Neurospora crassa OR74A: one gene and its partner. The protein of the gene in region 2 binds, or shares a complex with, the protein of the main gene of each other region. Links are inferred from orthologs where the notes say so. Each region holds a gene or a part of one and is shown on either strand. Other genes may lie near its edges.

Region 1 (7,787 bases), on a different chromosome or scaffold from region 2:
CAGAACGGGCATGCAGATGGTACAACAAGCGTGTTGGAGAACGAAACTAGAGAAACGAATGCACTGAAGATCTTCCCATATCTGTCGTTTATCCTGACCGGGAAGACCTATCCTACTGGGGACACAATTCCTGATGTTGTAGCTCAAAAGGCTAAAGCGGAGATTTACTGGTTTCTCTTTTCGGGCAAAAGTATCTGCTGGCCTAAGGGCAGTAGCAAGAGGCTGCTTACGCAACCAGAACAGTCTCAAGAGCCATCCTTCCCCTACTTGAGGATGATTCTCAACTTTGACGCACCCAGCTTCCTGAGCGTGCTCAACGAGGCCTTTGAAGACTCCTTCTTGAACGATTCACCTGAAAAGCAGCTTGCTGGTGGCCCAAGTCGTGATCTTTCAGAGGAAGAAATATTTGGTCTGACGGTAGACAGACAGTACATTACCTCCATCTTAATGGAGATAATGAGCTCGGCAGACTTTGCCAAGGAAGACACTATCTATCTCGATATGTTTATTGCCAGAAACCTTCCCAAGTACCCGCAATACCTTCTTTTCACGGGATCGACACTTACCAAGGTCCTGGTCGAGCTGTGTCGATATCCAGGGGATGACCTTGCCGAGGATGCCCAACTAAGCGCCGAATATCTACTTTCAGTTTATCATCCGCCAGATCTACCCGACTTGATACCGCGGTTCAAGGAGGCTGGATTTTATCGGATACTGAAGCGTATATACAAAGCAGACAAACAGTATGGGAAATTGACTCTGACCTACTTCGAAGATCCGAATGAGCGGGAAGCTATCTTTGACTGCATCGAACTCTGTCTCCGACCGCACTCAGGTCTTACCCGTCGCCAGATACAGGACGTACATCAGGTCATCAAGGATCACGCCGGTAAACTAGTCCAGATTGACTCTGTTAGAGCGGCGCAAGCAATAGGGACCTACGCTCCAGAGTTGCACAGTCACGTCCTGGATTCCGTTTCTGAGCAGCCGCACCTTCGGTATACTTATCTGAAGATGATACTGGAGCCAAGTAAGGAGGTGATGAACGTCCGTCCGCCTCAACAAGATCTTGTGGAGCAGTATCTGCAGCTCATGTGCCAGTTTGAACCATCACATGTACCGGAATACGTAAACAAAGTCCAAGCTACGAACTTGAGGTTAGAGAAGCTACTGCCTACGATGGAAGAGACGGGTGTAATCGACGCTGCCGTCATACTGATGGCGAAAGAAGGGCAAGTGAAGGAGGCCATGGCGCGACTGACGAGACACTTGGAAACTCTTGAATCAGCCTTATACGGTCTATTGACCGGAACCGCCTCTCAGTCGCAAGGAGATCTCAATTCCCAAGAAAGTACGGAGGAACTTATGCAAGCTTTGCAAAACTACACTCGTGTGGGCGTTTGGCTGTGTCAGGAACAAACCAAAGCCGCTCGAGAGAGTGGTAATACACGTCAACGACACAAATCAAATTCTGAAGACGAGCTTTCGCCCGACGAGCAACTCTGGCTCAGCTTGGTTGAGAGCTGTGTACAGATCACCAAGCGGGCTACTTCAGCCTTGCAGCTACCACCCCCAGATGATTCAGCACAAGCACAGCTTATGAACGGCGATTCTAACCCCAACAGTGAACCATTCCATATGTCATTAGAGACAGAAAAGCTTGTCACCTTGGCACGATCGCTCGTGCAAGACACCTTTACAGCCCTCCTCTCATCCACATCAACCCGTACCTCTCGATCTGCAGCAGACACGGGTGATATACAACCTCCAGCAATAAACGCCAATCTATCCTTCCTCCGTATTCTTCGTGCGTTCCTCACTCGCGCCGCGGCGTCGTCGCCTAACCTTGCAGATCTCCGTTCAGTTCTCTCCAGTATCTTCGCCGCATACGCATACGAAGAATCCATCCTTAGCCTCTCAAACCGGCTTTTGGAACGCAGTCTTTTTGTGAGTGTAAGCCAAGCCGTCCAACTCCGCCAGCGAGGTTGGCGTCCTAAAGGCTCCACCTGCGAGGCCTGCGGCCGGCGAGTTTGGGGTCCTGGTGTGGCGGGTAATGTCTACGAAGCGTGGGAAGATCGCCAGGCTGCTGAGGAGAGTCAACGCCAGGCGAGGAAGCAACTCACCATGAGCAAAAACAAGGCGGCGAGTGCTACTACTGAACGGGGGAAGGGCAAGGATCATGCGTGGCCGGCAACGGACGGGCCCCAGGGTGGGGAGAAGTATAATGGAAATGCAAATGGAGATGGAAAGGGGAAGGGCAAGGGAAAGGCTGTGAGCCCGCAATTGAAGCAGCAAGGGGAGTCAATGAACGACCCGAACCAGCAAGCAAACACTTCTGGACATGAAGGCGTGCAAGGGCCAATAGTGGCAAACCGGGAACAGAAGCTTAGCCCTCTGGTTGTGCTGGCCTGCAGACACATCTACCATCAAGCATGCCTGGACGCTCTTGAGATGAAACATGGGGGCGCGGTTTCCAAAGGAGCTAGTTTTGGAACGAAGAGAGAGTATAGCTGCCCCATTGACAGGTAGGACTGATGAGAGGATTATGGATTGTCTAGAAGAAATTACACTTTGTACGTAGAAGCTTTACGGTGAATGAACTACTTGGAGACAGTTGAAGCTCTGGGATCTAGCCGTGATTAAAGTCAAAACTGGCAATACAGGCAATGGTTGGCGTGTATCTTTCATAAGCTGAAAGCATTGAAAATCCATTTCTCCGGAACGCCTCCGCGCCATATCGTGCGACCATAACATACACCTGCCTGATAATTAGCGACGTAGAAAATATCATGCCCATCTTATATGACCACCACACTCCACCCCACACAAACTCCATGAATGTGTGAGCACTTTAGGCATCAACCATTGTGGCCTGACTTGGAATCCGATGTTTTGTAGCCTCCCGCCATTTCCATAGCGCGGCGTGGGAGGGTTTTCCACTTCATGCCTCGACAACTTTCTTTTTCTGCAATTGACAAAGTGAAATCCTACTTGCAGCGCTTCTCGACAATGCCCGCGCCGTTCTCATCATATTCCTTTCGCGAAATCCACATTTGGTGGAAGGTTCCGAGACTGGCGAGAATGCTTCCTCCGATCCAAGCACCGAAGCGTCTCTCGGTCGTCAAACCCGCCGCATGGATCTTGATCTTCACACCGGGGTACATTTGCGCGAGCTCGTGGTTGAGACGGTCGTTGAAACCGTTCAACAAGCTTGTACTACCCGTGACAACAACGTTGCCGAGGATGTTGGGGCGGAGATCAACATCAACACCCTCGAGGGCCGCCTTGATGAGAGCCGGGATCGTCTGAGCCTTAGTAACACGTCCTTCCTCGTCAGTGCTGTTATAGGCAGCCGTCTCGTCCCACATGCCCTCCGACACCTTGAAGCGCTGCTCACGCCACATCTGATTGCTGCCGTCGGGCATCTCGAAGACCCGGCCGGGTTGTGTACGGACAGCATCTTCGTTTCCGGGGGTCGTGAACCGCTGGGGACCACGCCACACCTCGACAACAGACTCCTTGAACTCGGTGAGAACACGCTCTTCCTCGTAAGCGCGGAAGGACGGGTGGATGTCGAAGTTAAACTTTCGCAGGTTGGCTTCGGCAGGCGCACCGGCCTCCACGGGCTTCTTACTCTCGACCATGAACCGCGGCACAACGTCGACCTTGGGCTCACTACCGTCCCACATCTTGCAGATCTGGCTGCTCAGCCAAACACCGCCCACCGGAGACCTTTGAATCGATCGCTTGAGGACCATGCCGTCGTGGATGGCCGTGACACTCGTGTTGGCACCGCCCACGTCTATTACCAGAGCCGTGGCCTTTCCGGCCGCAAATGCTGCGAGCACAGGTGTCTTGCTAAGCCAGAATGCGGGCACGCCCCAAGTCTCCATGCTGATTTCGATGGCCTTCTCGCGCGCCTTGGGCGAGTTCCACGGCGCTTCGGTCATAAGAAGAGGGTTCTCGGCCAGTGGCTTCTCCAGCGCGTCCGTAGCATCCTCGTTGTTGTTTCCATCGTCTTCCATGGGCACATCGCCATCGTCACTAATGTTGATACCCTTTTTGCTGGGAGGTGTTGATCGCTCGGGCTGCAAACGCTTGACGAGAACATGTTCCCACATCCTGGTGGCAGCATCCCAATCTTCGACAACGCTGTCGCGGTTCATGTAGTTGCGCACTTCGAAGCCCGGTTTTGGCACGATATACTCGTCGCCGAATACGTCACGCCCATTGATGTGGCCGTAAAAAGAAGGGAGAACTTGCTTGGGCATTTCCTCGCCAGCATAGCCGGCGCGAGTGTTGCAGTAGCCCGGATCGAGAACAAGCGCGGATACCTCATCTAAGGAAATAATCAGCCGTCAATTGCAAGCCTTGAAGCTTGGGCAATGTCGCTGGTCAGAGGCGTTTGGACTAGGCTTACCTCCGCCATAGATGTCAGTCGGCTGGACCGACGACGAGAGAGGTTGTTGGTGGGACATGTTAGGCACCGACGCTGTATAATGGAAAATCGCTGAGGTGTATTATCGGAGGGCAAGAAGTGGTGTGAGCGGGGATCTCCAAACAGCGCTGCGCGTCTAATAGCTCGGTCCCGTCGCGTTCCGTTGAAGTTCGATGAACTGGAAATCAAATGGAATTTGACAACGGAGCTTCAAAGACGAGGGGCGCGCGCGCGTGAATACCAGTAAAAGGCCGGACAGGCTCTCCTCCAGCTACATAAAAGTGGGGCGCGGTACGTACCTCTACGGTAATAGGGCATCAGGGACAGAAAATGGAAATAGCAATCCAACGAACCTGTCAAGAGCTCTGTTAACTTGTTGATAGGTCTTTTAAGCTTGAAGAGAAGTAAGACGCACATGAGCAGTTAGCTTTGGTTAAACTCCTCAAAGATTGTCGCTGGCCTGTCGTTGCTGATCCAGAGCCCACGAACTCGCTAGAAGTCCTAGAAGTCAAAGTTACGACATCCATGGGAAGTAGAACTCTCAGCTGTATACGATACCGACAACGGATTCACCCAGAGCATTATGCCACCCCCAAAAAGAACAAATGGGTATCATATTTCACAATGGACAAAACAACAATACAGCAGAGATCAGGTGTCTATCCTGTCTCAGGACCTTCATAACCTGTGTTAACTCCATCGACCAACTCTCGAGCCATCCAGTCCATTCCCAGGACTATGCAACATCCCCTTTCCTTCATAGTCCTCCTCATCCTCCTCACTCTCCACCCCTTTCTCCCTCCCCTCTCCATACAAAACCTCACAAACTCCCGCCAGTGGCACATCCATCACCGCATCCGTCCCTTCATTCCAGACCTCCCTCCAATTCAATCCTCCCCCAGGTAAGAGCACCTCCCTATCCGTCGACCCATGCCTCCCATGTCCATAGCCATGCCCATACTGTCTCTTCTCCTCCTTGATGCCACATTTCTTATCATGCCTAATGATTTGGCCCTTCCCATCCACCACCGCCACCTGCGCCGCCTCATCCACAATCGTCTCAATCGATCCCAACGGCAGTGTGAGGTACTCGGTATTGTAAGCCGCCAGCGCCACGTAGATGTACACCAGCGTCATTGTCAGGAAACTCGGAATGGCCAGCGACCACCACCGGTTGGGGTAGTAGTAGATGCCCAACGCATGCAGGAACGGTGAAGGCAGGTAGGCCCACAGTAGGTAGATCAAAAACGACAGGCTGCTGAAGAGGTAGAGGACGAAGCCGTAGTACTCGTACGTGGGTACGCGGGGGCTGGCGCGCGGGAGGGGCTCGTTGCTGCCCTCTGGACCCCCACCGCCGCCGTTGGCTACTGTCTCGTCGTCGGAGGCGTCCGGGGTAGTGGGACGCGAGGGGCGCAGCAGGGAGGTTAAAGAGGGGGAGGGTGGGAGAGGGGTCGGTGGGCGACCGTAGAAGGGAGGGGCGAAGGTATGTTGCGAGACGGGCGGTGGGGGCGCGAGGTGCTCGTCGTCGCCGTCGTCGTCCGAGATGTCATCCTCGTCGTAAGAATCCTCGTCTCCGGATATCGAGCCATCATCGTGGTTGTCTTCTTCTGAAGGGTGGGACAGCATCGTGCCATCCTCCTCTTCTTCCTCCGATATTATGGGCATTCTCGTGACATTCGTTTGCTGGGTTATGATTCAGAGCGGAGGCTCTGTGAATTGTTCAAGACCTGGCGCAACGATAACTGGAGATGTGATGTATGGTGTTGGATGTGGTCATCACCTTGGAGTTCAGGTGTGGTGGTTGTAGGTAGGTTGCAAGGAAGTATGGTGAACGCGCCGGTGCTCGGAAGTTGCCCCTGATGGAACAGTTCGTTCACAGCAGAAGCTAACTGTAGGTGCCCTGGACAACAGCGCGGATACACCAAAGCTGGAGGGGGAAACGACGGCCCATAGCGGTTGCCACGCCAACCCCATTTTTGTTTACATGCAACAGCTATATTCCAGTGACTTTCAGGAGACACAAACTCGCCTTAGTGCACAGTAACGTAACAATCCTAGGAAAGTGATATTTCATCTTTGTATGCATGGATCAAAATCAGAAATTAATTTGTTGAAGTTGGGTGATTTTGACCTCTCTATCCTCGCTTCGGAAGCCCTTTGATCTTTACCCCGTTCGTAAATAATTACCACCCATTCCATCTACACCAAACATCGCGAACCTTATCCTCCTGCCCCCGGCAATTCGAGTCAACAATCAGATAGTACTCGAACCCCGCCCCCATGATGCAAGCATGGTTGGGCCACACCCTTACCCTATCACCCACCTTAAGTTCGGGCGCCTTCTTCCCTTCATCCCCTACCCAAGTCAAAATACCGTGCTCCTGGCTGATCTTGCCGACCTGCCAGCCCCTAAAGTCATTAGGAAACCTCTCGCCGAGAATCTTGCCGCTCCTGTCCTTTTTTTCCGTTCCTGCTAGAACGCCCCAGGGCATCAGGGCGCCCCAGCCAGTGTACGGCTTGGCAGTCTCCTCGTTGTTGCTCGTTATCTTGTCTAGGCCCACGGGCTCGCGGCCAAGGGCCAGAGAGCCGGCATTGATGAGGGCTTCAGGCTTTGAGTTTTGACCGCGGGTCGGGTAGACTGTTGTTTTTGACAGGGGAAATTAGCTCTCCTGCAATGTTACGGGATCCATGGAGAGAGTTTTACATACCGGAGGCGACCTCGGCAACTACGCTGATGCCGATATCTTCTTCAGAAAGAAGACCGATGTGTCGTGCGTGAGTTGCGACCTGTTGGAGATCGAGGGTCGGGCTGAAAGATCCGTGTTAGCACAATGAGGCCACATGTACATAGAAGAAAAAAGTCAGCCAGCACCAGGGTGAAAAGGACCAACTCACTAAACACCAGCATGAATTTCAAGCACATATCCCTCCTTCTGCCAACCGCCCCACAACTCTTTAAGCTCCTCCTCAAATGGTCTCATGCTTCCCTGCGAGTTTGCCGTGGGCACATCGCACTCCCCCGTAAACCAAGGGCTCTGGATCGTCGTCGCCGTTGGCGTCGCACCTACCGATAACACCAGAGGAGCATGGTCCGGACTCTTTTCGCGAATCTTCATGGCAGCATTATGGGCGTGAATGAATTCAGCGTGAAGAACATGCATAGCATCTCCGAGCTTGCGAGCCCCGTAGCTCTGCCCGGCATGTGTATACAAGCCATGCAGCACCAACCATCCTTCCCGCTCAGCAGCCAGGAGGACGTCGACTAGAGATGGGTACTCGGGAGAGTCGGTCTTGACGCCGGCGCGGCCGTAGTTGACGTCGATTTTGATGAACACGCGGGGAGGGTGTC
Region 2 (7,950 bases):
GTGTCCTTGGGAAGGAAACCGGTGCCGGGAGGAGAGACGAAGGTGTCGCGCACGTTGGACAGGACAAGGGCTTCGCCGGTGATGGGGTCGTGCGCAATGATGCCGATGCCGAGCTTGTTGGCGGAGCCTTCGCATCCGAGAGCGATGCGGCGGCCTTTGGCGTCGGGCATTGTTGGCTGTTGGGGCTTTGTTGGATAGAGCGAGGGAGGGAGAGGGTTTCGGTTACTTGGTGAATCGGGAGCCGGTTGCTTCGTATCAGATAACTCGCAAGGATATTTCGTTGGGGATGTTTATCGAGGACCTTGATATCCTTTGGTTGTTGATAGGCGTCGCGTCGCGTACTGAATAGGATGGATGGATGGATGTTGTCAGTGCCACATCCAATGCCAGATGTCAGATGGAGAAAGTGATAATGGAGGGGCACCTTTTTAGAGTGGGGAAAATTTCGTCGCGTCTGTGAATACCTAGGCTAGGCGCGCCGTAGTGATCAAGGTGACGAAACTCGAGATCGAGATGAAAGAGGATGTACATACTTATTCCCCCAGCGGGCCGGTATCCCGTCTCCTAAAACCGGTCGACATGTTCACTACTTGTAACGATGCTTTAAAGCCATTCTCGCCCGTTGTTCTTCTCAAAACAAGGGAACGGCCTCGCCATGGGAATCAGCAATGGGATTTCGTCAGAGCCTTCCATGGAGTCGATGAGGGGTTCAATGAAATGTGGGTCCCCGCAGCCGCTTGTGCACAGTCGAGTGGGACCTTTATGTTGCTTTGGATGCGCAATGCAATGTTATGTAAGGCAGGCACGTAGCGTGGCTCGTGCGCTAGTAGTAGCAACGATTTCTATCCACATATAGCCGCAACGGCGCAAACTGTGACCATGGATGCATGAGTTGTGTAAAAGACACTAGAAGTTTGATTATTTCTAGCTTTTTCGCCATGAGCTGATCCAACAGTTCCATTGCAACAAATATGTGCAGATGAGCTTACGTGATTTGACTTGCTCTGTGGAAGTGCAAAAAGGCTCCGAGCAGTTCGGGGTCTGCCGAGCCTGGGCTTGGGGCTCTCTGCACGGGACCCCACTGCACCGAGAATCAATTCTCCCAGCCAAGCGAGAGTCCGCAGCCGTCCAACCATCTTCCATCCTCCGAGCCTGTATCACCCAACACCTCACCTCGTTGCCGCCAAACCCAAACCTCCCAACCGCACGGCCAGACCTGCCTCTTTCAACAGCCCAGCCGACTTCTTCCTTGTCTTCACCATCCTTTGCCTGCCATTTCTTCGGCAGAACATGGCCGGGCTGCTTCTTGTTCGGTTCTTGCAAGCTTTCGAGCTCACGGGGCCGTCTGGGCCGGATTGGAGGCCGTGAATTCAGCACCGCCCCAAGTCTATGGGGATGGAGATACCCATATTCCCTCTTGAGGTGTGTTTTCCTCGTTCGTCTGACTTCAGAATGCTGCTTTGGCCATCTTTTTGTCTCGCACAACCCGTCTGATGTGGGCTTGATATGTCCGGTACCGTTGTGGGTGAACCTAGGCTGACCAGAACTCTGCACCACAGGACCACCCACCACCCATGGAAAGCTGTTCACTCGACACCTCCATTCTGTCTTCCACCTTCTTTGGACATCGCTTCTTCTTCCGCCTTTCCAAGTCTTTGGGAAATGCTGTTGTGGGCTGCTGGCTTCATGGTTCAAAATCACGAACCTCGCCACCAAGTCAGCAAAGCTGGCCTCCAGTCAGCCAGCCAGCCAACCATTGCTGCTCGGTGATCCCACTCTAGAGCGCCCTCGAACTCTCCTGCTCGAGTTTTCACCAACGTCAAAATCGCGGATTACCAGATCGGAATGTCCCTTTTTGCAAGGCATCTTCGGTTCCGGAAAACCGGCGATCAGCAGTTCTGCCAGAAGCCAGGGTCCTGCACCAAAAGGAGCAGCGGTCTCGACTCCGAAGCCTGGCAACGGAAGACTCGACGTCCAAGCCAGCATCGATATCGTAACGACCGGTCAATTTCTCTCTGCTCGAGTTTTCTCTTTCTCAGCTTTTTTTCCACCTACGTACCTAGCGAGACCTCTTTCTTTGAGGCGTCCCCACTCTTTTATCACCAAGCACGCTGCACGGTCGCTCCGAAAGCCAAAGGGGCGACCCCCGTCTCTACGCTAAGCAGCGACCCGGTCTACCAGGGGCGCGAGGGAACACCTTTTTCTCTTTCTCGACACTTTTGTCGTCCTCCCAACTTCCTGTCTTCTTGTGAAGCGTCCTGTGTCGGACCGCAGCTCGATTGCTGGTTTCCTATTGGCCCACCCGGTTCGCAAATTCTCGCACACCTCCGACCAATTCGCACATCGGCCCAGGGCAGCACCGTGTGTTACCTAAGCCCAAATGTGGCACATGCATACGCTCGCAGCACTTGTCTCGGGGCTGCCGATGACCAAACGCTCGGAACATCTCTGAGATCATTCCTGCTTTCCCCTGGGCAACAACCTCGCGGACGCACCCGGTCTATAAGGCTTCGTTCGCCCTCCAGGCTTTCCAGAAGCGAAGATGCCTTGACAGACATCGAGACCAGCCTCCACGCTTGATGGCCATAGCCACTTTCGTGGTTCAGTCACACTGCACAATACAACACCGCGTGAAGCAACTGATGGGAGCCAGAAGTGGTATTTTACTGCTTTGGTATCTCATTACTGTTGTCGCTGCACAGCTTCTCGCGTGTCTCAGCTATCCGCCGCCATCTACACGATATCGGTACGACTACTTGTTTACATATATACATGAGCCGTTCCCCACTTCGCCAAACCTACGCAAAAGCCGCAACCCAAACGCCTCGCCCCGGCCAGATCCTTCTCTTTAGCCCTGGCCCCATATCGCTAAATGCATCAATCGAGAGTTGAGGGGTATACACAGCAGCGGTCTTCCGAAGTTTATTCGGCTGCTCGACCACCAGCCCGCGAAAAAAGCCAAACGATATCTAAAAAAGATGACAACACAACACTCCTACAAACGCCAATTTTATGACACCGGTTGAGCCTGGGGCTGCGGTTGCGGCTGTGGCTGTGCTACTGGTTGTTGTGGTTGAGGTAGAGGGAGAGATTGTGATTGATTTGGTTGAGGTTGTGATTGCGGTTGTGGTTGTCCCGGAGCAAAAGAAGATTGGGCAAGTTGTTGTGGGACGGCGCCCGGAGGGATGAACTGCCGGTTGATAACCGGTGGGGGAGGTCTTGTGACCGTCTGGAGTGGTATTGAAGCACGGTACCTCAATGCCTTTGTATCAAAGGGGTCCAGCATATACACCGGCGCGTCGTCCTCGTCATCAGAGGACTGATCATACTTCCAGCGATCGGACTGTTCTTCACTGAGGTCTCGGGCTGGACTAGGTAAACCACGACGGTCGATCCACAACCTGTTCAACCGGCCGATACGACGACGATATGAGGGTGGATGCGCCAATGATTGTTCGTCCTGGGCAACGCCCCTGAATTTTACTGGTGGTGGTGGGTTGGGTTTGGGCTTATCAAGATCCATCGGGGTGGGCTCATCCATGGATCCTGAGGATGCAGACGCTGGTGGCGTCATGAGATACTGCGTCTTGGCAGGTCTGAAGCCCAAATCTTGTCTTGGGCCCTGAACGGGAGACAGCGGCTTGCCAGTGAGGTCGACATAGTTCTTGTTCCAGTCGATGTGGTTCTGAATCTTCTTCTCGATCTCGATGATGAGCTCCGCATTCTTCTCGGCAAGGCGATCTGAGAGTTGGACAAGATCTGACTCTGCGGGACGGCCATCGGGGCGCACAGGCATACGGATCTGGGGGGGTGGAGGGGGTCTTTGAGCTGAGGGTGCCTCCGGAGCCTTCCTCTTTTGCGGCTGTTGTGAAGCGTTAGCGTTGGCTGATGTAAGTCTTGCACGTCTTGCCGTTTGACTAACCTTTTGGTTTACTAGATCCTCGTCGCCCGTCCTGATGCCGAGTCGGAGTTTTTGCTCCTTGATGATGGCTCGTTGATCGAAGATGGCTCGCTCTACCTTGAGCATATCTGCCTTGAGCAATTCCCGGTTGTGGGCTGCCAGGATGAGTTGACGACCTTCCTCCAGCTCCTTCCGCAGCCGCTTGAGTTTGTCCGCACTCTGGACATCTCTTGCCCTCGTTTTGCGAGTTTGACGAATCTCTCTTCGGCGAAAGCAGACGTAGGGATCAAGCTCGTCGCTTTCCGCATGTGTCTCGAATTTCAGTGTAGGGTTGAGCGGTCGGTTTTTGCTGATTTCGCGGCGCGACTTCCAGTACTCATATATCTGCTTGGCATGAACCATGACTTTTGTGCTGTCTAATGGCTCCAGTCCTCGCAACATCTCCTGATACGACGGCACTGTCTGGTCTATGGCCGAGAACGGCGTTATGTTCGCCGCCATGTCCTCATACACGTCCATGATCCTCTCGAAATCATCTTCGGAGAGACGAGCAGACGGGGTCAGTTTCATGTTGTAGGACTTGAGGAACGTCTCATCGTCCTCGGTCATGTCATACAAGCAACTGATGCATTCTTCTACCGTTTGGGAAAAACGGATATACGTGGATGTCTTGGCCACCTTTTGAGGGTAGAACTGGTCGTAATCCAGTTCACTCTGCTGTGGAGGGGGGACAGGAATCTCCTGGTCGGCGGCGACTCCTGCCCCCTTGAGCACAGCTTGAAGATGGTATTCCTAGTTACAGAAGGGGTAAGGTCAGCACCGGTGACATGCATGGCTGTGTGCATGGAAGGTAGGTAAGGTGAGTTGGTGATGGAGGCGTGATGGAGGCGCGGCAGACGGGTGGCACGTGCACGTGCACGTGACCCCGGTCGCGATCAATCGGACATAGGTGTTGAACTCACATTTTCCTCGGCCTGTTCGACACCGGTGGCTATTTGGTTTTCGGAAGTGAGTGATTCATACTCAGAGGCTTCAATTTGATCCTCCCTGAGCACCGCAAGTTGTGTTTTGACACTCAGTTTCTTGTACCGAACCTTGCGGGTCGCCATGGTGAAGGTGTGGGCAATTGCGGCAGAAAGGCCTGGGGAAACCCCGACGAAATTTTTTTTTATCTCATGCGGGATTGCATGCGAAATCGAACCGTCGAGTTTTTTGATGGAAAACTCGCGTCGTGGGTGATATTTTGATGGGCAAAATCTGGTCCCTTGATGGAGTGTCGTTGAGGTTTCGGCGCAGATTTTGCTGTTTTGGCGGCGGATTCGACGGCCAATGCACGGTCTTGGCGATTGGCTGGGCTTCTGCTCTTGCGAAGCCTGAATGGCGGGGGGAGGGGTTGAATGGGGTGGTTTTGGGCGAAGTTTTGCTGGTCGCGCTGGCTTTGCTGGCTTTTCAGGGAGGGAACGTAAGCGTGGTGCCCACTGCCCGGGCCGTCCATGGTCTGCGCGTCCACTCGCAACGAACCAGTCAACCACCACTGCCAGTGGCCACTGCACTGTTTGAAAGTTGGAAGCGCGGGCGCGCCTCCAAGGAACCCGATCCGACGACTCCAACCTCGACTGCCCGCCTGAGAAGCCAAGCTGCCAACTGGAGCCCAAGGCAGTGCCAGCCCGCTCCGATAAGAGCAATATCGTCATGTAAGGTAAGGATTGGCGTGCAATCTTACAGAGATACACCGCGGCCTCATTGATTCTACTCTTTTGTTACCTGTTTTTGCTTGTTTTCAATCTTACTATCAGAACCCTTTGGCTCTTGGTGGAATGACGATGCAAGCAAGCATTTGCTGGTCGTCATAGACTCCTTGAACTGAGGGCATTCGGTGCGCAACCTGACAACACCCAAGTTGGATCCAAATAAAAGACTGATATCCTGCACCACTTCCTCTCCATGTCGTTGATATCGCATTCAATATTCAACGACAACTTGTGACTGTCTGGAGATTTGGGCATTTGACTGTTACCAGTGCACCGCAGCCAAATAAAGATGGAGTCCGAGGTGCAAATCATATGCGCAGCAGCACACATGCGATGCATTCCTTTAAGAATTCCTAAAACGGTCAATGGTTGGTTTGGTTTCAACGAGGAGGCACGCGAACAGTTCCAACAGACATCAACCCTGACCGTCGAAAGGGGCAGCGTGTTGAAATGAATCAATCAATGGGCTGATACGAGATGAGGAGGAGAAGTGGCCCGTGCATCCCACTTCTTACCCCACCATCCACGGCATAGATCCTCGTGCCTGCCCCCGCTGTCCGCCTGCCCAGCCGAGCCAAAGGCCGCGGCCCGCCTCTCCCTCTTTTGCCTCCGTTCCAGTCTGTGACCGCCAAACCGAAGAGGGGACCTGCCGACTGCGGGACGACAGTAGCCGCGGCGGGCTGCTGCTCTGCTGGTGTCAGCCCAGGAGTGCTCGTGAATGGGAGGCCCCCGCTGTTCGGTGAGGCAATCGAGCGCCGCACTGCAGCTATGGACTAGTAGTGACAGCCCGAGCTACCTGGACCTTGACCACTTGTCAACCACCACTGGTGGCATCCCATCTCAGCCTTATTCCTGCCTTGTCCAGACCCTTATCGACCCGGAGTCGACCCCTAATTCCTCCAACCTGTGAATACCTCCTGCCTCGCACTTTTTTCTTTGCTGCTCAAGTGTTAACCCACCACCCAGCGCCCGAACTTCTTGCCAAAGTGACGACGACTACCGACACGACCCATTCGTATCCGATCGCTTCAGCGTCGCATCACGTCGCATCTTTCGGCACAGGCACATTGCTATCATCACGAGCACGACAACCAGCGGTGGAAAGGAAACAGAACAAACCGAGAACTTGTCGACGATTCAGCACGGCGATTTGTACACCACCGTGCACTTTGATACCCAGTAATACAGATATCCATCGGTCGAAAGAGTCCAGCAATACACAACACGAGCAGCAACCATGGGCAACACCACCAGCTCCGTCCTGGACAACATTGTCCAGGGATCCAACTGTACGTTTCGCTCGGCGACATGTTGAAGCCTACAACCCTCTACACTCTTCGTTATGTCCTGAACTTTGTCGCATCGACAGCGGTGCAAAATTGTTACTCTCTTCTACGACGAAGTCACAGAGATATGGAGATGCACATTGCATGCTGCTTTACATCAACAAGCGCTATGCGCCTTTCTTGCAAGTTCTTGTCAAGATCACTTTACTAACACACCCTTTTTAACAGTCGACAGGGAAGAGGTTGACCGCTTGCGTAAGAGGTTTATGAAGTTGGACAAGGCATGTTTTTGCACATCCATTCCCGTCCTGCGATCTTGTCCAGCTTAACTGTTGTCGCAAGCCAACAAAAGCATAAGTCGAGCGGTCAAGACGGTGGGCTTGTTGTCGGAATAACTGGCTAACCGGGCGGGATCTGGTTTAACAGGATAATTCCGGTACCATCGAGCGCGAAGAGTTCTTGAGCCTACCGCAAATATCGACAAATCCTCTGGCTACAAGGTTCGTTACATTCTACCCCTATACCTACCCTTGCTCATATCAGTATATCGCATGCTTCTGGCTTTCTCCGCGTGGAAATGCTGTCTGGGCACAATATGCGACATCATTTAGAGTGAAGACTGGCGACTAACGGTTTCCGACTTGGGTGTTATGCAGAATGATTGCCATCTTCGACGAAGACGGTGGTGGCGACGTCGACTTTCAAGAGTTCGTATCCGGCTTAAGCGCCTTCTCGAGCAAAGGCAACAAGGAGCAGAAGCTGCGGTTCGCTTTCAAGGTGTACGACATTGACCGTGACGGGTACATCAGCAACGGCGAGTTGTTTATCGTACTGAAGATGATGGTAGGCAGCAACCTTAAGGACCAACAGCTGCAACAGATTGTCGACAAGACGATCATGGAGGCGGATTTGGACAAGGACGGCAAGATCAGCTTTGAGGAGTTCACCAAGATGGTGGAGAACACGGATGTCAGCATGAGCATGACTTTGGGTGAGTTCGCTCCTTTTTTTT

The links. Proteins that work in one complex are often made in the same cells at the same time.
Region 1: NCU03834 (region 2) and arp-4 share a complex: the UniProt entries of both Schizosaccharomyces pombe proteins name them as parts of the nuA4 histone acetyltransferase complex. The link is inferred for Neurospora crassa OR74A from reciprocal best matches to the Schizosaccharomyces pombe genes epl1 and alp5.

Annotation. Positions count from the first base shown.
Region 1 is NC_026501.1:2,711,685-2,719,471, forward strand, and holds arp-4 (actin), read right to left. Parts: upstream 4,648-7,787; 5' UTR 4,479-4,647; coding exon 4,421-4,478; intron 4,340-4,420; coding exon 2,988-4,339; 3' UTR 2,530-2,987; downstream 1-2,529. Other genes in the region: NCU02554 (golgi complex component), read left to right, coding at 1-2,529; NCU16367 (hypothetical protein), read right to left, coding at 5,129-6,103; NCU16368 (hypothetical protein), read right to left, coding at 6,622-7,076, 7,147-7,247, 7,334-7,787. UniProt on the Schizosaccharomyces pombe protein: Chromatin interaction component of the NuA4 histone acetyltransferase complex which is involved in transcriptional activation of selected genes principally by acetylation of nucleosomal histone H4 and H2A. The NuA4 complex is also involved in DNA repair.
Region 2 is NC_026505.1:2,561,771-2,569,720, reverse strand, and holds NCU03834 (histone acetyltransferase complex component Epl1), read right to left. Parts: upstream 5,313-7,950; 5' UTR 5,011-5,312; coding exon 4,864-5,010; intron 4,694-4,863; coding exon 3,923-4,693; intron 3,863-3,922; coding exon 3,011-3,862; 3' UTR 2,187-3,010; downstream 1-2,186. Other genes in the region: NCU03836 (O-sialoglycoprotein endopeptidase, variant), read right to left, coding at 1-170; NCU03835 (hypothetical protein), read right to left, coding at 843-906, 990-1,081, 1,174-1,490, 1,706-1,757; cnb-1 (calcineurin subunit B, variant), read left to right, coding at 6,890-6,941, 7,167-7,219, 7,365-7,438, 7,595-7,929. UniProt on the Schizosaccharomyces pombe protein: Component of the NuA4 histone acetyltransferase complex which is involved in transcriptional activation of selected genes principally by acetylation of nucleosomal histone H4 and H2A. The NuA4 complex is also involved in DNA repair.